Stegostoma tigrinum: one gene and its partner. The protein of the gene in region 1 interacts with the protein of each later gene in a pairwise test. Links are inferred from orthologs where the notes say so. Each region holds a gene or a part of one and is shown on either strand. Other genes may lie near its edges.

Evidence for each region.
Region 2: the proteins of txlnba (region 1) and nmi interact in binary tests that used the Homo sapiens proteins (3 or more experiments, as listed by UniProt). The two-hybrid records come from large-scale screens. The link is inferred for Stegostoma tigrinum from reciprocal best matches to the Homo sapiens genes TXLNB and NMI.

What each region holds. Positions count from the first base shown.
Region 1 is NC_081362.1:90,529,803-90,540,652, reverse strand, and holds the start of txlnba (beta-taxilin), read left to right. Parts: upstream 1-5,884; 5' UTR 5,885-5,985; intron 5,986-10,850. UniProt on the Homo sapiens protein: Promotes motor nerve regeneration. May be involved in intracellular vesicle traffic.
Region 2 is NC_081360.1:86,436,596-86,447,728, forward strand, and holds the start of nmi (N-myc-interactor), read right to left. Parts: upstream 5,312-11,133; 5' UTR 5,227-5,311; intron 1-5,226. Other genes in the region: parp14rs3 (protein mono-ADP-ribosyltransferase PARP14), read left to right, coding at 5,440-5,608. UniProt on the Homo sapiens protein: Acts as a signaling pathway regulator involved in innate immune system response.

The sequences.
Region 1 (10,850 bases):
TATCCCTCCCCAGCAGCATCAGCCCTGTTTGATATTCCAACAGCAGCTGTTTAAAGCTAAACCTAAAAACTAAAAGAAACTAGAAATCCTGGTCTGTGAGAGATGGCCACACCCACACAGGCTGCTTCTATTGTTCCAACTTTAAAATAAAACCCCAAGGCCTCACAAGCTACTTATATTAACACAGACAACTCATTCAATCTTGTTCAATCTGAGGCCAGACATCAACTCCCTGGCACCTCCTCCCACTGCCCCTTGATCAAGACCCCACCTCTGATCACCACACCATCATTGCCCAGATCAACAACAACTTCATCACTTCAGGAATCTCCCACCCACAGCTTCCAACCTGATAGTTCTCCAACCACGCAATGCCCATTTCAACCACCTTCCCAAAGTCCATAAACCTGACTGCCCCAGTCGGCCAATTGTTTCTGTCTGTTCCTGGCCCATGGAGCCCATCTCCTCCTACCTCGACCTCTGTTCTTTCCCCTCTTGTCCAGGAATTCCCCACCTATGTTCAGGACATAACTCACACCCTCCACCTTTTCCAAAACTTTCAATGCACCAACACCTAACACCTCATCTTCACCATGGACATCCAGTCCCTGCACACTTGTATCCCCCACAATGATGGTATAAAAGCCTTCTGCTTCTTCCTGACCCATATGCCCACCCAGTCCCCCTCCACTGACACTTTCATTCACTACACCGAACTAGCCCTCACCCTTAATTTTTTTTGATTCTTCCCACTTTCTACAAACCAAAGGGGTGGCCTTGGGCACCTGCATGGGCCGAAGCTACGCCTGCGTCTTTGTAGAACAGTCCCTCTTCAACAACTACACCGGCACCATCCCTCACATTTTCCTCCTTTACATTGATGATCGTATCAGCGCTGCCTCACGCTCCTGTGAGGAGCTCGAACAGTTCATCAACTTTGCCAATGCCTTCCACCCCACCTTCAACTTCATCTGGACCATTTCTGTCACCATTCTCGTCTTCCTAGGCCTCTCTGTTTCTATCTCCAGCAACCGACTCACCACTGACATCTATTTCAAACCCACTGACTCCCACAATTACCTTGACTACACCTCCTCTCGCCCACCCTCCTGTAAAAATGCTATCACATATTCTCAATTCCTCTGCCTCCACCTCCACTGCTCCTAGGATGAGGCGTTCTACACTAGGACTTCCCAGATACGCTTTTACTTTAGAGACTATAGCTTCCCCTCCTCTGTTATTAACAATGGCCTCAGCCACATCTCCCCCATTTTCCATGCTTCTGCCCTCAAATGCTGTCCCACCAACAACAATAAAGATAGAATCCCCAATCCTCACGTACCACCCCATTAAACTCCAAATCCAATGCATCATCCTCTGGCATTTCCGCCACCCACAACCAGATCCCACCACCGAAAAACCATTCCCCTCCCCATTCCTGTCCACTTTCCACAGAGTCCATTTCTTCCATGACTCCCTCATCAGCTCTACATTCCCCGCCAACTTCTCCACCACTGCCGTTAAAGTGGATGGTAACCGCAACTGCAGGAGTTGCAACACCTGCCCCATGCCTCCCTTCTCACCTCCATCAAAGGCCCCAAACAATCCTTCAGAATCTGGCAGAGATTCACTTGCACTTCATCTAACCTCATGTATTGTATCCATTACTCCCGATGTGGCCTCCTCTATATTGGGGAAGCCAAATACAGAGTTGGGGAATGGATTGCAAAACATCTGTGCTCTGCACGCAGCAACCAACCCGACCTTCTGGTTACCATCCACTTTAACTCTCTCTCCCACTGTCCTGGTGACATGTCCATCCTTGACCTCCTTCACTGGGGGTACATCACCTCATATTTTGCTGGGAGCTTACAGCCTATTGGCCCTGAATATCAACTTCACCAACTTGAAAATCCCATCTCCTCCAGCCTCGCCAACTTCCAACTCACCTATCCACTCCACCCTTCCCAGTGACCCACCACAATAACCCCCTCCCAGCATCCACTTAGCTCCATCCCACCTACTCTTCCCCCCAGCCCCATGGCCATCCATCTATTTATTTCTGGGCTTGCCTCCCCAGCCCTGATGAAGGGTTTTCAGATCAAAACATTGACCTTCCTGTTCTTCGGATGTTGTCCGACCTGCTGTGCTTCTCCAGCTTCACATTTATTGACTCTTGTTCCAATCTCTCTCTTAAAAGAAACCAGGACAAAAATACACCTCTTAAAGCCACAGCATCGTCACATGCCTAACAAAGATATTTAACTTGTAGAATTCCAAATACCATTTACTTCCTTTTGAGCCTCTAATCAGGAATGCTGTACAGATCCTTACCTCCCAATGGATGCTGCAACTGCCGGCTCACCTTCCAGCTCCCTCCTCCTGCAGCACTTCACTTACCAGGTTTGAATTGCTTTACCATTAAGTACAGTTTCTCCTTCGTTCACTTTATGAGTTTGTCTACAGGCCAATTTTTTATTCATATGTTGTAGGCAGCCACCTGCTGTGTGTATGAGTTGTTCTTAAAACCATCAAGTACTTAACAATTGGAAGTTTCTACTCATGAGTCCATTGGAATGCTCATCACTGTTATCTTCTTCAAAGCAACCTTACTACCTGAAGAACTGATGCTCTCTTGTTGATCACCATGTTGCATGGGCTGTGATGCCAAACACTGCCAACTTGTGGTTGGGGTAGTCTGCTGTCACCATCCCCTTGCAAGGCTCTTGTTTGAGCCTGAAGGTCTACAGTGTGATAGAGGGAAAATCGCGCGTGGGTTTATTGGAGATTTCACCAAGATTTAATTGATTGCATGATGGTAATTGGGTAAGGGGGATGTCAGTAAGATAAACTTTATTAGTATAACTATGTGGATCCCTGGGATATAGCTCTCCATTCTACAAGATACTGAGCTGTTCAGACTTTTCCCTATCATCTGTGTGACATCACAGACTCCACTAACAACAGTGTGGGACTACCTACAGCACATGAAACTGCAAGTGATTCGCCATCACCTCCTCAAGGGCAACAAGGGATGGGCAATAAATGCTAACCAGCTGTAATGCCCACATCTCACGAGTGAATTTTTTTAAAAATTGGATGGAACTTAACGCAGTCTCTAATATTTAACTCTTTACACCCGTTATTTCACTCAACACCACATTCTTCTACAAAGACTGCTGTAGGAGCTGTTTTTTGCACCTGAGAGCCTCATTTTAACATCTCACCTTCAGTAGTGCAGCACAGCCCCAGCATTGCTGAGGGAGTGTAAACCTGGATTTGGAGCTGAAGCAGGAGCTGATCTCACAACCTTCTGACTGAGAAGCCCAGCAATGGCTGACTGGAATGGGTGGATTATTAGTTCCTCCAATTGGCAAAACCAGGGCCGTGTGACTTTGGAGCTCCCTGCCTCGGAACGCAGTGAAGGTGGGATCATTGAATGTTTTTGTTGCAGTGGAGGATGGGTTGCCACTCAGCAAGGGATTATCGGGTAGGGGGTTGGGTGGATCCTGAAATTCAAACTACAAACTGTTCAGGCATGCACTAATTGAATGGTGAAGCAGACCAGAAGAACTGAATGGCCCCTCCAATTCTGAATCTTCGTAACTAGTAGGAGGCAGTGGCCTAGTGGTATTATCACTGGACTGTTAATCCAGAGACCCTGACAAAATTCCGGGGACCTGAGTTCAAATCCCACCACAGCAGATGGTAGAATTTGAATTCAATAAATATCTGTGATTAAGAATCTAATGATGATGATAAACCCATTGTCTATTGTCAGGAAAAGCCCATCTGGTTGACTGATGTCCTTTAGGGAAGAGAAGTGCCATCCTTACCTGGTCTGGCCTACATCTGACTCCAGACCAACAGCAACATGGTTGACTCTGAGATGCCCTCTGGGTAATTAGGGATGGCGCCAATAAGGCAGCCTGGCTAGCAACGCCCTCATCCGTGAATGAATAAAAGGGAAAAAAACTCCAGATCAGCAGATTGCATTCCCCTCCAGCTACACCAGACTGAACTCATCCTGAAAGATGGTAGTTTCCAAATGATTTCAGTGTCACGATACGAGTGGTACAGGAGACAGAGGATGTCTAGCCCCTTGAAGCTTATCCAGCTTGTAGTGTGAGCCATCTGTAGCTCCGCACCACTCAATGCCCCCATCCTCCTCACTCCAAATGCCTTGATATTCAGTCCAAATCTATCAATCAGTTGGAGTCTCTACAGCAGTAGCAGTTGATCCTCAGCACTCACTATTAGGCAAGTGATTTCATGTTTCTGCTATCCTTAAGGGAAATCAATGTTGTTTAACCAAACACTGATGCACATTTCATATTTTACAACATGCATTCCCTGTTCCCACTTTGTCATTGTTTGCAGGTGATTACTAGAGAATGACACAATTCAAAGCATTGAAGCAAATTGACTCTGTTGTTAATTCATTTTTTGTGTACATTCTCTGTGTGTGTGTGTGTGTGTGTGTGTGTGTGTGTGTGTGTGTGTGTGTGTGTGTGTGTGTGTGTGTGTGTGTGTGAGATAATGTATATGAGGCTTCATGTGGAAGCGTGTGTGTGCAAGGATGTGTTTGTAAGGACGTGTGCATGAGGATGCGTGTATAAGGGTCTGTGTGAGTGGGTTTTTATATACAGATGTGTAAGGCTGTGTTTGAGGGTGTGTGTATGTGAGGCTGAGTGTGTGTGTGTGTGTGTGTGTGTGTGTGTGTGTGTGAGAGAGAGAGAGGGGAGATGTGAAGCTGTGTGTGTATGTGAGGGGTGGTGCAAGGGTGTGTGTGTGTGTGTGTTGTGTGTGTGCGCGCACGCGCGCACATGCACATGAATATTGAGTGTGTTTTGGTGAGTGTACATGAATATGAGTGGATACAATGACTTGTGTGGGTTTTGGTGTTTGTGTAAGTGAGTGGGAGTATGCCTATGTTGTTGTGATATGTCTGCAGTTTTGAGAGTGAGAGCATATAGCAATATTGGAGAAACAACTCCACAGAGTGAGTACATGCATACATACACTCATCCTGGTCACCAAGTCACCCTTTATTTACACATGAGAAGCCATTGACACTGACCCAGCTCTCTCAGAGCAAGGAGGCCCTCTGACACTCCTGTTTATATCTATCAGTGAGGGCTCCCTGATTGGACCAAGTTAACAGTCCCAATCAGAGAACTCATATTCTGTGAGGTCCAACTGGCTGACCTCATTACAATCATTACAACAGGAGCACACAGGAGCATAGTAGATCATTCAGCCGACTGAGATTGCTCTGCCATTCTAGATCATGGCTGAATATCTCCTTGAAGGCCATTTTCTTGCACTGTCATCACCTTCCCTGATAACTGAGCTTCATGTGAATATGAGCATTTGTGCATGCATGGATGTGTGTGCCTAAGTGTTTGAATAATGTACATATGTGTCAATATGGGTGTATTTGTGTGCGTGTGCATACGTGTCAATATGCATATGTGTTAATATGTGTGAGTTTGTGTGCACACGCATATATGTTTCAATACACATATGTGTCAGTATCTTTGTGTATATGTGTGTGGGCATATGTGTGTGTGTGCATGTGTGCGTGTGTGCCTGTGCGTGTATATGTGAGTATGTGTGTGTGCACGCGTGTGTGTTTATATGTGTATGTGTGTATGCCTGTGTGAGTATGCAAGTCTGCTTAGCCCTGCCAACACTGTCATTAGTGCCTGCAACATGACTCTTCATGTCACTTAAACACTAGTGAGCATTCCAAAACAAAAATAGAGAGCCGCGCATTGGTGGGGAGACAGAGCTGTGATTTAGTTGAGTCATTCCAGGGATCCAAGGACTAGGACTGGTATAATCTCACAGGCCCTTCCCCCTCACTCACTGTTGGCCTGGTGTATTTTTAGCTAATATTACTCCAGCCACGCAGCTTCCTCAGCTGTTCTGTCACTCCAGAAAGTGAGTCTGCCTTCACCAAGTTACACAGCCCAGACTAAGGTGAGTTTACATCTAACTTCTCAATCTGTTGCATGCACAGAAAACAAAGGCAGTGTTGTAATAATATCAGTATTAAAAGACAAAACTAACTTAATCTCTGAATTTGAGAAGGTATAATTGCAGAAATTGAGAGCACGAGGGAAGTTACGGGTGCTGACCCTGTTTTGTCCAGATGTTTTGTTCAGTGGGTACCATGCTAACAAATTTAAACCTCAATTACGCTCCTTCATTTTACAGGCACTATGAAGTAACGATAAAATCAATCAAACAGTCAATAATAAAGATTTTAAATCAGTAGAACTGTGTCACATAGTGTAATTGAGAACATTTAGGTCTCAGGCGACTGGGGGCTAGCCAACGTTATTCCTTTGTTTAAAAAAGGCAATAGAAGTAATCCAGGAAATTATGTCAGTCATAGGGAAATGGTTGGAAAAGATTCTTCGGGACAGACTTTATTCACACCTGGGAAAGTATGGACTTATTAGCTATGGGCTGCATGGCTTTGCGCAGGAAAGGTTGTGTCTCACAAACTTGATTGCATTTTTGAGGAAGTGACAAAATGATTGACGAGGGCAGGGTGGCGGATGTTGTCTACATGGAGTTTAGCAATGCCTTTGACAAGGTCTCTCGTGGCAGGCTGATACAAAGACATGGGATCTGCAATGAGTTGGTCAGATGGACACAGAGCTGGCTTGGTCATAGAAGACAGAGAGTAACTGTGAAGAGTGTTTTTACTGACTAGAGATCTTCGGCCTGTGGGGGTTCCGCAGCTATCAGTACTGGGACCTCGGTTGTGTGTAATATATATAAATGATTTGGAGGAAAATGTGGGCAGTTTCATCAGTAAATTTGTGGATGACACAAAGACGGGGGGAGCTAGAGACAGTGATGAGGATTGCCATAGGATACAGCAGGGTATAGATAGGCTGGAGACTTGAGAGGGGAAATGACTGATGGAGATTAATCCAAACAAACGTGGGATGATGCAATTTGGGAGATCTGATGTAGGAGATAGGTAAAAGGTAAATGGAAGAATCCTTAATAGCATCAACATACAGAGGGATCTAGGCCCACAGTTCCCTGAAAGTGGCATCACTATTGGATAAGGTCATCAAGAAGATATATGGCACACATCATTGCAGCAGAGAGTACAAGATTTGACAAGTCCTGTTGCAGCTGTAGAGAACTTTAATTAGGCAACATTTAGATTATTGCATACAGCTCTGGTTTCCGCACTACCCAAAGGACATGGAGACTTTGGAGAGAGTACATAATAGGTTTGGTAGGATGTTGCCTGGTTTAGAAGGTATTATGAGGAGAGATTGGACAAACGCGGCTTGTTTTCACTTGAACTTCAGAGGCTGAGGTGTGACCTGGTCGAAGTTTACAATATTACAAGAAGCATGGACAGAATGAATAGTTTTTCCCAGGGTAGAAATGCCAATTATTAGGGAATAAGCCAAAAGGAACGAATACAGAAGTTGCTGGAAATACTCAGCAGGTCTGGCAGCATCTGCGAAGGAAAAAACAGAATTAACATTTCAGTTCCACTGGCCCTTCCCTCAGTTCACAGATGCTGCCAGACCTGCTGAGCTTTTCCAGCAACTTCTGTTTTTGTTCCTGATTTACAGCTTCCGCAGTTCTTTCGGTTTTTATTAAGCCAAAAGGGTTAAGTTTAATGGAGATGTGAGAGGGAGGTTTTTTTACACAGAGAGTGGTCAGTGCCAGGAATGAGCTGCCAGAGGAGGTGGTGGAGGTGGACGCAATAGCAACATTTAAGGGGCATCTTGACAGAAACAGGTGATTCTCCAAAACCCAACAGTTGCATTCTTTTGTGACCTTGCGCCATAGAAAATCATGTTATAGGGAAATCGCTGTAGAAAATCATTATACTTGTACAGCAGAAAGTTCACATTATCCAAACTGCATCCACTATTCATCAATCGCGTTACAGTCAATTTGCATTAACAAAACGCGTTTTATGGCAGAACTAGCCCACAGATAGTAGGAACTGCCGATGCTGGTGTCAGAGACAACACAGCGTGGAGCTGTAGGAACACAGCAGGTCAGGCAACATCAGGGGAGCAGGAAAGTTGACATTTCCGGCCAAGACACAACTGAAGGAGGCTGGTACAGTTAAAACAATCCCCTGATATCTCTGTAATCATTTGAATTTTGGACAACTGCTATTGCCTTTACTCCACATTTTGCTACCACACCTGTAGTCATCGAGGCCCTAAAGCCTGGAAGCCCCTCACACATCTTTCCATCTGCCCATATTTCATTCCGACATTGGTTAGGCCACGTTTTGGAATACTGCATTCATTTCTGGTCTCCCTGCTATAGGTTGTTAACTTTGAAAGGGTTCAGTAAAGATTTACAAGGATGTTGCCAGGGTTAGAGGCTTTGAGCTATAGGGAGAGACCGAAAGGCTGGGGCTATTTTCCCTGGAATGTTGGAGGCTGAGAGTTGATCTTATCGAGGGGCATGGATAGGCTGAAGAGCGAAGGTCTTTCCCCGGGGTAGGGGAGTCCAAAACTAGAGGGCATAAATTTAAGGTGAGAGGAGTAAGATTTAACAGGGACCTAAGGAGCAACTTTTTCATGCTGTGGGCAGTGCGTGTATGGAATGAGCTGCCAGAGGAGGTGGTGGAGGTTGGTACAATTACAACATTTAAAAGTCATTGGGACATGTGCATGAATAAGAAGGGTTTAGAGAGATATGGCAAAAACTGGCAAATGGGAATAAATCCATTTAGGATATCCGGTCAGCATGGATGAGTTAAGCCAAAGGCTCTGTTTCCATGCTGCACATCGCTACAACTCTGTGATTCTGTGAGCCCATTAACATGTTTCTACCACTTTGATAGAGATGCACTGACTCAGAGATGAGGGTGCTACCAAACGAACAACGGCTGATGTATAAATCGGCCAAACTAGGAAGTGCTCAGATCTTGGTGGGTTGAAGGGAGGAGGAAAGGGGGAATTACAGAAGTCGTGGGAGCAAGGCAGAGGGTCCTTATTAAAAGCATTAGGTCACGCTGACCCTAGCAAAACAACGAAAGCCAGAGAATTCCTATAATTTAAAAAGGCCTGAGATCCAAATCCAAATGCAGTTTGCGGCCTGCAGTCCCAGGTGTTCATGTCTAATGTGCCATTCTCTTTGGTGTCAACATAATTTCACTTTGAAAATGTTGCTGCGTACATTTTACACCAATATTGGTAAAACTGAGTTGCCTGCATCAGGTGAAACCACCCTAGAAACTACCTCTAAGCAGAGGGGAAAAGATTAAGTCATTTTCCAAACAAATAATGTTGGTGGAATTTGTGGGACAATTTTATTCTGTTTCTCTTATCCCCTGCTCTGTAGTCCCGGAGACAGAAACTTTTCTGGCTCAATTGTCTGCCTTTAAAAGATAGAAAGGAAGGTATTTTTATAATGCTCCAAGTCGGCCAGGTCCTTCAGAAACATTCCAGAGCACTTTGTGTGGATGGAGAATCACACACCCATAAAGCACGTAGAAAGGCCATTCGGCCCATTGTGGAACTGCTGGCCATTTCAAAAAGTTATCCAATTAGCACCAGCTCGCAACTCCGCTCTTCACGCACAGAAGCCAAGTACAGTCAGTTCTGCGATAACATGCGTTTCTTCAACCCAAATTGACTTTAATGCGATTGAAGAATTTAGGCCACTATTTGTAGAACATGAACTTTCCTTACCAGTAGCAGCTGTAAGGTGATTCTGGTCCCATTAGTTTAAATGGTGTGGCTTATAACATGAGATTACATGAGAACAGAACAATCACTTTATATCCGAGCCTTCTGTATTTAACCAATACTTTTTTGAAAGTTATGATTGAAGCTGGTTCTATTAACCTTTCGGACAGCCTGCTCTTGATCACAGGCACTCATCTCCAATAAGGTTCATTCTGGCTCTTTCACCAATTGCCTCAAGCTTGCCCAAATCAAATCTCCTGCTAATCTTCCCTGCTCAAAGGAGAACAATCCCAGCTGATCGAGTCTCCAAACATATCTGAAGACCCTCATCCCTGTACTGGTCTTGCAAAGTTCCCTTGCACGTTCTCCTCTCTGAAACCCTCACATCCTGACCCAGAGCGACCACAATGCATCACAGTTCAATCCCTCATTTGAGCCACTTATGCACACAGCGGCTGCTTTGTCCTGGATGGTGTCGAGCTTCTTGAGTGTTGTTGGAGCTGCACTCATTCAGGCCAGTGGGGAGTATTCCATCACAGTCCTGATGTGTGCCTTGTAGATGGTAGACAGGGGAGTCAGGAGGTGATTTACTCGCTGCAGTATTCCTCGTCTTCCCCACTCCCCAGCCACAGTATTCATATGACCATTCCAGATCTGTTCCTGATCAATGATAACCTACAAAATGCTGATGGTGGGAGATTCAGCGATGGTAACATCATTGTTTGTCAAGAGATGATAGTTAGATTCTCTCTTATCAGAGAACATCATTGCCTGTCACTTGTGCGCGATGGATATTGCATGCTATTTGTCAGCCCAAGCCTGGATATTGTCCAGACCTTGTTGCATTTGAACACAGACTGCTTCAGTATCCGAGGAGTCACAAATGGTGCTGAACATTGTATGATCATCAGCAAACATCCCCACTTCTGACCTTATGATAGAAGGAAGGCCGTTGATGAGGCAGCTGAAGATGGTTAGGCCTAGGATATTCCTCTGCGGATGTCCTCAGGTTATGTACTGGGACTGAGATGATTGGCCTCCGACTACCACAAACACCTAAATATAGGACTTAAACAGTGGAGAGTTTTCCATCCCCACTGTCTTCAGTTTTACTGCACATCCTTTGTTGTCTCATTCGGTCAAATGCTA
Region 2 (11,133 bases), on another chromosome or scaffold:
GCATGGGTGGTGTCACGGACGTAGGTAGGGAGTTCCTGGATCAAGGGAGAGAAAATGGAGTCCAGATAGGTGGAGATGAGTTCAGTGAGGCAGGAACAGGCAGGGACAATGGGTCAACCAGGGCAGTCAGATTTGTGGATTTTAGGAAGGAGATAGAAGAGGGCGGAATTCACTACCTACATCCATGACACCACCCATGCCCTCCACGTCCTCCAGAACTTCCAATTCCCTGGTCCCCAACACGTCATCTTTACCATGGACGTCCAGTCCCTATACACCTGCATTCCTCATGCAGATGGCCTAAAGGCCCTCCACTTCTTCCAGTCCCGCAGACTCGACCAGTCCCCCTCCACCGACACCCTCATCCGCTTAGTCAAACCTGTCCTCACACTCAACAACTTCTCTTTCAATTCCTCCCACTTCCGACAGACAAAGTGGGTGGCCATGGGTACCCACATGGGCCCAAGCTATGCCTGCCTCTTTGTACGTTACGTGGAACAATCCCTCTTCCATACCTACTCTGGCCCTAAACCCCACCTCCTCCTCCATTACATTGATGACTGAATCAGTGCAACTCGCACGAGGGGCTTGAACATTTCATCCACTTCATCAACACCTTCCACCCCAACCTTAAGTTCACCTGGACCATCTCCAATACCTCTTTCTCCTTCCTGGACCTTTCCATCTCCATTTCTGGCAACCACCTTGAATCCCACCGACTCCCACAGCTGCCTAGAATACCCAACCACCTTCCTGCAAAAATGCCATCCCCTATTCCCAATTCCCAATTCCTTCGCCTCCGCCGCATCTGCTCCCAGGATGAGGTATTCCACTCCCCTACACCTCAGATGTCCTTGTTTTACAAGAACCACAACATACCCCCCTCAGTGGTCGAGAATGCCCTCAACTGTGTCTCCCGCATTTTCCGCAACTCATCCCTCACAACCCCTGCCCGCAATAACAATCAAAACAGAATCCCCCTAGTCCTCACATATCACCCCACCAACCTCTGGATCCAACGAATCATCCTCTGACACTTCTGCCATCTGCAATCCGACCCCACCACCAAAGACATTTTTCTGTCTCCACCCTTGTCTGCCTTCCGGAGGGACCACTCTCTCTGGGACTCCCTTGGCCACTCCACATTCCCCTCAAGCCCCACTACACCCGGCACTTTTCCCTGCAACCCCAGGAAATGCTACACCTGCCCCTACACCTCCCCCTCAACTCTGTCCCAGGCCCCAAGACAACTTTCCACATCAAGCAGATGTTCACCTGCACGTCTGCCAATGTGGTATACTGCATCCGCTGTTCCTGTTGTGGCTTCCTCTCCATCGGGGAAACCAAGCGGAGTCTTGGGGACCGCTTTGCAGAACACCTACGCTTGGTTCGCGTTAAACAACTGCACCTCCCAGTCGCGAACCATATCAACTCCCCCTCCCATTCGTCAGATGACATACCCATCCTGGGCCTCTTGCAGTGCCACAACGATGCTACCTGAAGGTTGCAGGAACAGCAACTCATATTCCGCTTGGGAACTCTGCAGCCCAATGATATCAATGTGGACTTCACCAGCTTCAAAATCACCCCTTCCCCCACTGCATCCCAAAACCAGCCCAGCTCGTCCCCACCTCTCTAACCTGTCCTTCCTCCCATGTATCACCTCCTCCCACCTCAAGCTCCACCCCCATCTGCTACCTACTAACCTCATCCCACCTCCCTGACCTGTCCATCCTGCCTTGACTTATCTATCTCCTCCCTACCTCCCCAGCTACCCTCACCTATACAGGCTCCATCCCAATCTCTTTGACCTGTCTTCTATCCGCCTTCCCCCTCTCCCTATTTATTTCAGAACCCCCTTCCTCTCCCCCATTTCTGAAGAAGGGTCTAAGACTAAAGTTTGTTGAATCCCCTGGACCCGATGGAATTGTGCATGTACTCTTAGTATTTTTCCCAGAATCGTAGTCTCTGGAAAAGCCCCAGAGGATTAGAAAACTGCCAGTGAAACACCTTTACTTACAAATGAAAGCAGATGAAAAAACAGGTTAGTTTAACGTCTGTTGTGGGAAAATGTTCGAGTCTATTAGAGGTAATAGTAGAACATTTAGTAATATATAATATGATCAGGCAGAGCCAGCATGGCTTCATGAAGGGGAAATAATGCCTGAGAAATTTACTATAATTCTTTAAAGAAGTAACAAGCAAGATAAATAAAAGGGATGCAATAAATGTAATATACTTGTGTTTTCAAAGGTGTCAGTTAAGGTACCACACATCAGACTGCTTATTAAATACAAGCCCATGGTGTCGGATACTAAATAAAAACCAAAAGAACTGCGGATGCTGTAAATCAAGAACAAAAACAAAGTTGCTGGAAATGCTCAGCAAGTCTGACAGCATCTGTGGAGAAGAAAACAGAATTAATGTATCGGGTCCTGTGACCCTTCCTCAGAACAGTTCTGAGGAAGTGTCACCGGACCCGAAACATTAACTCTGTTTTCTCCTCCACAGATGCTGCCAGACTTGTTGAGCTTTGCCAGCAACTTTGTTTTTGTCCCATGTTGTCGGAGGTAGTTTATTATCCAATGACTTATGGTCTTATTGACACAGGGGCAAATCACCTTCTTACTTACTTACCTTCTACATATCTTCTGTGGAGGAAGGCAATCCAGTGTGGGGTACAATGAGAGAATGTGGGGGAGAACAACAGAGTGAGAGCAAATTGGAGGAGAGCAAGCTTAACATAGAAGAGAATGAGCCCAGCACGGGGGGAAATCGAGCCCAGTGCAGCAGCAATCGAGGTCTCCCTGTTGCTGTGACAGTGATGAGCCTGGGGAGATTGAGCCCAATGTGGAGGAGATCAAACCCTTGTGGGGAATGCGAGCCCAGCATGGCTAAGCACTTAAGAAGGACTTCAATGTTGAACATTTAACTTTATTTTTCTACTTTACACTAAGAAGGACGACAATGTTGAACTTTTAGCTTTATCTCCTTATTTTTCTACTTTGTCTAAGATTTTGTACCTGGGTACTAAGATGTCACCTGGAATGGTGACATTGTGCACTTTTCACTGTACTCCTGCATTCCAATAATTGAATACATGTGACAATAACATCTAATTCTAATTCGAACTCCAAATCTAACCTTATTAGTTCAGAAAATCCATTAGCTGAGGAGAATGAAGCTACAACGTTCTAATGGAGCATTACATGATGCAGGCAGACCACCACTCAAAACTAAGGGAATGTGGTGAGTATATTTGGAGAAGAGAGACCAATACTTTGTGGACCAGTGTGCATTATTAGAAACAAACATTTCTCAAATCCACGCAGAAGTGATGCTTCATCCTCAAACATCTACAGTACATCAAAGAACTTCAAACTCCAAAGCCAAATACCAGTGATCAGTGTAGCATTACTCAAGAAGCAGACTTCACAGAACTCTGAAGAATGTTTGACTAACTAAGAGAACAAATCTGCCACTTGACATTAATTATATTGGTGCATGACAACTTTTCACCACTGAGAGATTCGAAGAAGCTTCTGATTTCATAGGTTTGGAGGAATTGTTTTAAAGCGGGGGAGTGGACATCACTCATTCAGAGCGCCAACGCAGGTATGATAGGTCATTGGCCTCCCAGGAGCTGAAAACATTCTGTGAAATGTTGCAGGCTTTTGTGTTAATCTTCTTTTTGGTAGAACCACACATTACCCGTGATGGTATCTTGTTTACATGTGACTAGCCTAAGGTTAAGCAAGCTTAGCCTCAACACAGTCGCCTTGGAATGCTCCTAAAGCTACCTCTTTCTCTGCCTCCTTAATCCTGAAGGGATGAAGTTCTTCCATTTTAACCTCTTAATCCAGCAGTCACCTGGTGGCACAGTGGTTAGCACTGCTACCTCATACCACCAGTCAACCTGGGTTCAATTTCAGCCTTGGGCAACAGTCTGGGTGGAGTTTGCATGTGCTCCCGATATATGTGTGGATTTCCTTCCACAGTCTAAAGATGTGCAGGATAGGTGGATTGGCCATGCTAAATTGCCCATAGTGTCTAGGGTGGAAAATGCAGGGATGGGGTAGGGGGTGGGATGCTCCTCAGAGGGTCAGTGGGGCAAGTGGTCCGCTTCTATACTATATGAGTTCTGGGATTCAAAGCAAGAGCACAGAAGGTGGCAGGACATTCAGTCTTTTACCCCCACAAAGTCCTTAGCACGGGTTAACTCACATAGGGTCCTTGCCGGTGATGTTTAAATTATTATGCCTACTTGCAAACACCTCCATGGGCGCCCCTGGTCTTACAATTCTGTGAAACCTTTGTCTCCCTTGAATTCTCATTTTCAGAAGAATTACAGATTGAAATAGCTCCTCTAACAGTAACAGGATACTCTGTCTAAATTGACCTTAGGAGAGGAAGTGGTGTAGTGGTAGTGTTAGTAATCCAGAATCCCTGACTCATGTGGGCGCAGGAGTTTGAATCTCACCAAGCCAGCTGTTAACATTTGAATTAAATAAAAATGTGGAACGAAAAATAACAGTGATCATGTAACTACTGTTAGTTGTCAGGAAAATCCTACATACTTGGCTAATATCCTTTGGGGAAGGAATGATATGAATAGGAAGGTTTTAGAGGGATATGGGCTAAATGCTAACAAATAGAACTAGATTAACTTCGGATATCTGGTAGGCATGGACCAGTTGGACTGGAAGGCCTGTATCCACGCTGTACAGTTCTATATGTCTATGACTATCTTGACTGGTCTGGCCAACATGTGACTACAGGCATACAACCATGTGGTTGACTGTTAATTGCCCTCTGAAGTGGCCCCAGCAAGTTACTCAGGTCAAGAAGCAATGAGGGAATACAAGCTAGCCCATTCAGTGACGCCTACATCCCATGTTCAAATTTGTCTTTTCTTTCAAACTCCCTAAACCTATATTTTTAGTCACCTCTCTTCATATTGTCTCCATCGGTCACCAATTTCATTTTCTGACTTCCTTGTGAGGCGCACTGGGACATTTCACTGCATCAAAGTGCCCCATGTAAATGCAAGTTGTTGTTGAGTTTGGGCTCTGTGAGTAAAGTGGACAACTAGCAGTCATGACCATCTCTTTGACAACCAGATGGGAACCAACCGGAAAGCTGGAACCTGAGCCGATTCAACAATTTCCTGGGTGGCATTGGTTATTTTTAAATACACATTGGCTCTCGCCATATAAAGTCACTCACACGTTTAGTCCTATAATCTTTCACTTTCGATTCTCATCACGGACGTATGTTTCCGAGCAATGATCAGAGGAGAAGTAAGCTGTAAACAGCGTTCGCCCTAAGAGGTGGTCTCACAGTTTGCATCCTCCCCCCGTCTTTCCCCAGCAGACAGTGTTGACAGGACGCAAGGTTGAGGCTGTGATCTCAGCCCAGCCAAGCCAGAAAGGAGAAAGGATGGCAGGGTTCCCGGTGTTAGTGGAGGGTCTGCCTGTCGAGCTGGACTCTGTCAAAAGTAAACTCGCCATTTATTTCCAAAGCAAAAAGAGATCCGGTGGAGGGGAATGTGAGATCAAAGCGCACGAAGATCGGAGGAAATTCCTGATCTACTTTCAAAATAAACAGGGTAAGACTCTAATGCTGAAAAAATAGGCGAAAAGTTCCGTGTGCCACCAAGCGATCATTTGTCTAGATAAGGAGGCTTTCATTTGTACCGGTTATTCAGTGCAGTTACAGAGGGGTGTCTTTAAACAGATTGATTTGAAAATATATGCAGTGCAATTTCACACTGATCAAATTTTTAATGTGTTTTTTTTAGAATAATACGCTTCCACTATTCTGAGGCGTCATATTAAGACACTTGTTATCTGTGTGAGGCATTTTCGTTTCTAACTATTAGTTGCATCAATTTGACACCATTTGAAAGATTGATATCAGAGAGAATGGGGACTGCAGATGCTAGAGAATCCGAGATAGCAAAGTATGGAGCTGGATGAACACAGCAGGCCAAGCAGCATCTTAGGAGCACAAAAGCTGACGATTCGGCCCTACACCCTTCATCAGAGAGGGGGATGGGGAGAGGATTCTGAAAAAAATAGGAAGAGAGGGGGAGGCCGACCGAAGATGGATAGAGGAGAAGATAGGTGGAGAGGAGAGTATAGGTGGGGAGGGGATAGGTCAGTCCAGGGAAGACGGACAGGTCAGGGAGGTGGGATGAGGTTAGTACGTAGGAGATGGAGGTGCAGCTTGGGGTGGGAGGAAGGGATGGGTGAGAGGAAGAACAGGTTAGGGAAGCAGAGACAGGTTGGACTGGTTTTGGGATGCAGTGGGGGGAGGGGAGATTTTGAAGCATGTGAAATCCACATTGATACCATTGGGCTGCAGGGTTCCCAAGCGGAATATGAGTTGCTGTTCCTGCAACCTTTGGGTGGCATCATTGTGGCACTGCAGGAGGCCCATGACGGACATGTCATCTAAAGAATGGGAGAGGGAATGGAAATGGTTCGCGACTGGGAGGTGCAGTTGTTTATTGCGAACTGAGCGGAGGTGTTCTGCAAAGCGGCCCCCAAGCCTCCGCTTGGTTTCCCCGATGTAGAGGAAGCCACACCGGGTACAGTGGATGCAGTATAACACATTGCCGGATGTGCAGGTGAACATCTGCTTGATGTGGAAAGTCATCTTGGGGCCTGAGATGGGGGTGAGGGAGGAGGTGTGGGGGCAAGTGTCACACTTCCTGTGGTTGGAGGGGAAGGTGCCAGGTGTGGTGGGGTTGGAGGGGAGTGTGGAGCGGACAAGGGAGTCACGGAGAGAGTGGTCTCTCTGGGAGGCAGACAAGGGTGGGGTTGGAAAAATGTCTTTAGTGGTGGGGTCGGATTGTAGATGGCGGAAGTGTCGGAGGATGATGCGTTGTATCCCGAGGTTGGTGGAGTGGTATGTGAGGACTAGGGGATTCTCTTTTGGCGGTTATTGCGGGGGTGGGGTGTGAGGGATGAAGTGCGGGAAACGCGGGAGACATGGTCGAGTGCGTTCTCAACCACTGCGGAGGGGATGTTGTGGTCCTTGAAAAACGAGGACATCTGGGATGTACAGGAGTGGAATGCCTCATCCTGGGAGCAGATGCAGCGGAGGCGAAGGAATTAGTTTTGTTTAACAACAAGTGAATGGATGTTTTGAAACTGGGACATCCTTAACGAGAGTCATACTGCATTCAAAGCGTTAATTCTGTTTCTCTCTCCACGGTTGCTGTCAGACTTGCTGAGATTCTCCAGCAGTTCCTGCTTTTATTTCTGAATTTTCCTCTATTCCTCCCAGCTGTACCTAATGATAAATCGTCCGACACCAGGTTATGATCCAACAGGCTTATTTGGAACCACACAAGATTTTGAAGGGCAGCCCCTTTATCAGGTGCACCTGGTGTAGTGTGACTTCTGACTTTGCCCACCCCAGCCCAATACTAGCACCTCCACATAATGTTATTTTCAGTCCATTACCGAAAAGAAAGAGAAAGAAAGGGTAAAAATTGTTTCAGAGATAGTCGGAACTTCAGAGGCTGGAGAATCTGAGATAACAAGGTCTAGAGCTGGATGGACACAGCAGGCCAAGCAGCATCAGAGGAGCAGGAAGGCTGACGCTTTGGGTCTGGGCCCAAAACGTTAGCCTTCCTGCTCCTCAGATACTGCCTGGCCTGCTATGTTCATCCAGCACATCACTTGTTATCTTAGAAAGAAAGGGCTTAGAGGTGATAAATGGTGGATGATCAGGGGTGTTCTTACTGCAAGGTAGATTTTCACTTTCCAATTCAGGAATAAAACAGTTGATCTAATTCTTATGTGACAAGAAATCATGTAACTAAATTGCCTTTTCTTTTACAAATGAAGACATTTTCGAATCAATCTGTTACAGAAATGTTATTACACACCACTAGAGCAGGTGGAACACTTTTTATTCAGTCATGGGATGAAGGTAGCACTGGCTCGACCAGGATTTACTGCCCATCCCAGAGAGCAGTTAAGAGCTAACCACATTGCCGTGGGTCTGGAGTCACAGGTAGGCCTGACCAGATAAGGATGACAGTTTCCCTCTCTAAAGAACATGAGTGAACCAAACGGGTTTTCCCAACAATTGGCAATGAAATCATAGTCATCATTAGACGATCCGAACCCTAACATCATATTCCAGATTTTTTAAAAATTGGACTCTAATTCCACCATCTGCCATTAATCTGGGATCCCAGCACATTACCTGGATCTCTTGGATTAACAGTCCAGCAATAATACCAGCAAACCATCATCTCGCCTTGGTTGAACCTAGGGTTTCTGATGCAGATGTATAGAAATTACTACTATACCACAAATGCCCCTTTGTAAGATGGGATGTTGCAAATTACCCACCTGTTACAGGAACCACTCAATTTTTATTATCATTCAATTCACTACCAAGTAGCCAACACCCAATGCTATGTTACTCCCAAATACCGAAGTGGAAATTCACATCTAAATATATAAATACCAGAGCAGGAAGAGACTGAAAGTAATTGGAGATGAATGCAAAAACTATTGTGCTTTCCCAGTGACAGACCGCGTCTCCCGTATTTCCCGCAACACATCCCTCAGACCCCGCCCCCACCTCAACCGCCCAAAGAGGATCCCCCTCGTTCTCAAACACCACCCCACCAACCTCCGTATACAACGCATCATCCTGCGACACTTCCGCCATCTACAATCCGACCCCACCACCCAAGACATTTTTCCATCCCCACCCCTGTCTGCTTTCCGGAGAGACCACTCTCTCCGTGACTCCCTTGTTCGCTCCACACTGCCCACCAACCCCACCACACCCGGCACCTTCCCCTGCAACCGCAGGAAATGCTACACCTGCCCCCAGACCACCTCCCTCACCCCTATCCCAGGCCCCAAGATGACTTTCCATATTAAGTAGAGGTTCACCTGCACATCTGCCAATGTGGTATACTGCATCCATTGTACCTGGCGTGGCTTCCTCTACATTGGGGAAACCAAGCGGAGGCTTGGGGACCGCTTTGCAGAACACCTCCGCTCAGTTCGCAATAAACAACTGCACCTCCCAGTCGCAAACCATTTCCACTCCCCCTCCCATTCTTTAGATGACATGTCCGTCATGGGCCTCCTGCAGTGCCACAATGATGCCACCTGAAGGTTGCAGGAACAGCAACTCATATTCCGCTTAGGAACCCTGCAGCCCAATGGTATCAATGTGGACTTCACCAGCTTCAAAATCTCCCCTTCCCCCACCACATCCCAAAACCAGCCCAGTTCGTCCCCTCCCCCCACTGCACCACACAACCAGCCCAGCTCTTCCCCTCCACCCACTGCATCCCAAAACCAGTCCAACCTGTCTCTGCTTCCCTAACCTGTTCTTCCTCTCACCCATCCCTTCCTCCCACCCCCAAGCCGCACCTCCATCTCCTACTTACTAACCTCATCCCACCTCCTTGACCTGTCCGTCTTCCCTGGACTGACCTATCCCCTCCCCACCTCCCCAACTATACTCTCCTCTCCACCTATCTTCTTTTCTCTCCATCTTTGGTCCGCCTCCCCCTCTCTCCCTATTTATTCCAGTTCCCTCTCCCCATCCCCCTCTCTGATGAAGGGTCTAGGCCCGAAACGTCAGCTTTTGTGCTCCTGAGATGCTGCTGGGCCTGCTGTGCTCATCCAGCCTCACATTTTATCGTCTTGGATTCTCCAGCATCTGCAGTTCACACTATCACAGGGAAATCACCTAGTTACTTTTTGAACGTACCTTGACCTTACTCGAAATATTTATCATGGAAGGATAAGAGTAATAAACAAGATATGTCATTTGACATAATGGCCTTTTGGATCTTCTCCAATTTCACCCTTCAACATCATTTGCAATGATTACTAACATATTATCTGGGTTTTGAGGAAGAGTCACTAGACCGAAAATGTTAACTTTGATTTCTCCTCACAGATGCTGCCAGACCTGCTGAGCCTTTCCAGCAACTTCTGTTTTTGTTTCTGATTTACAGCACTTGCAGTTCTTACATAATATGTGGCTAGTAGAATATTGCATATGCTTGACGTTCGCCTTTCAATGCAAAAATCCGCTTAAAATCTGCGTCAATACAACTTTGCACCGCTACAAATGCGTGTGATCTGATCTAACTTCCTGAAATTACTTGCAATATTCTAGGTTGACTTCATCTACAGAATTTAATAATTTATACATTGAAAAGGTCCTGCCTTCTTCCTAGGCTCAATCTAATGTATTTTTTTTTCCCTGTAATTCATCTGCTTGACTTGTTAGGGGAAGAAGTATGCAATTTACAATGTTCAGCCTCACTACTGGCTCTGAATCCATCTCGGAGTCTCTGTGCCTTCCTGTAGAGTGCTAATTAGACCACAGAAGGCTCCAAATGTGGCCAAGTCAGTATAATTAGATCAGTGCATAAAGCTTTTGTGTTTTTCCTGTTGATCTTTAATTTACATTCTGATGTTAGGATTTGACTTTGTGCTGGGGTCTGTGCCTTCTGGAAATGCATCTTAGAAGTCTAGATGCTTCAGGTTACACTTTCCTGACCATTTAATGACCCAGGTCTGAAAGTACTCGGGATTAGAACTAATATCGCAGGTCTCATAATCCAGAATCCCTGAATAGTGCTTTGGAGAAATAGATTCAATTTACACTATGGGAAATAGTGATATTTGAATTCAGTAAAAATCTGAGAATTAAACCATTTTAAATGCCTGGTTGCCTTACTAATGGGAAGGAATTTGGCTAACCTTTGTGTAGAGTGACCAACTTGTGATTCCAGAACCACAACAATGTAGTTGACTCTTAACTGCACTCTGAAATGGCCTGGCAAGCCACTCAGTTTGAGAACAATTAGAGATGAGTGATAAATATTACAATAAATAATGATACCTTCTTTTCATTAGTGAATAAAACAGGTTGTTTTCTCAGATTATGTGTGCTATTTCATTAGATTAAAGGCTCATAGAAAGAAAAGGCAGTGTCAGATTGGATTTAATAATTGTTTTAAAGGCAGAGTTGTGGCAAATGTTTGTTGCTTAAATGGGAGATGGTAAACAGTGCCGTTCCTCAGGGGTCACACATAGGAACCACTGCTCTTATGTATGTGATTAAGATATT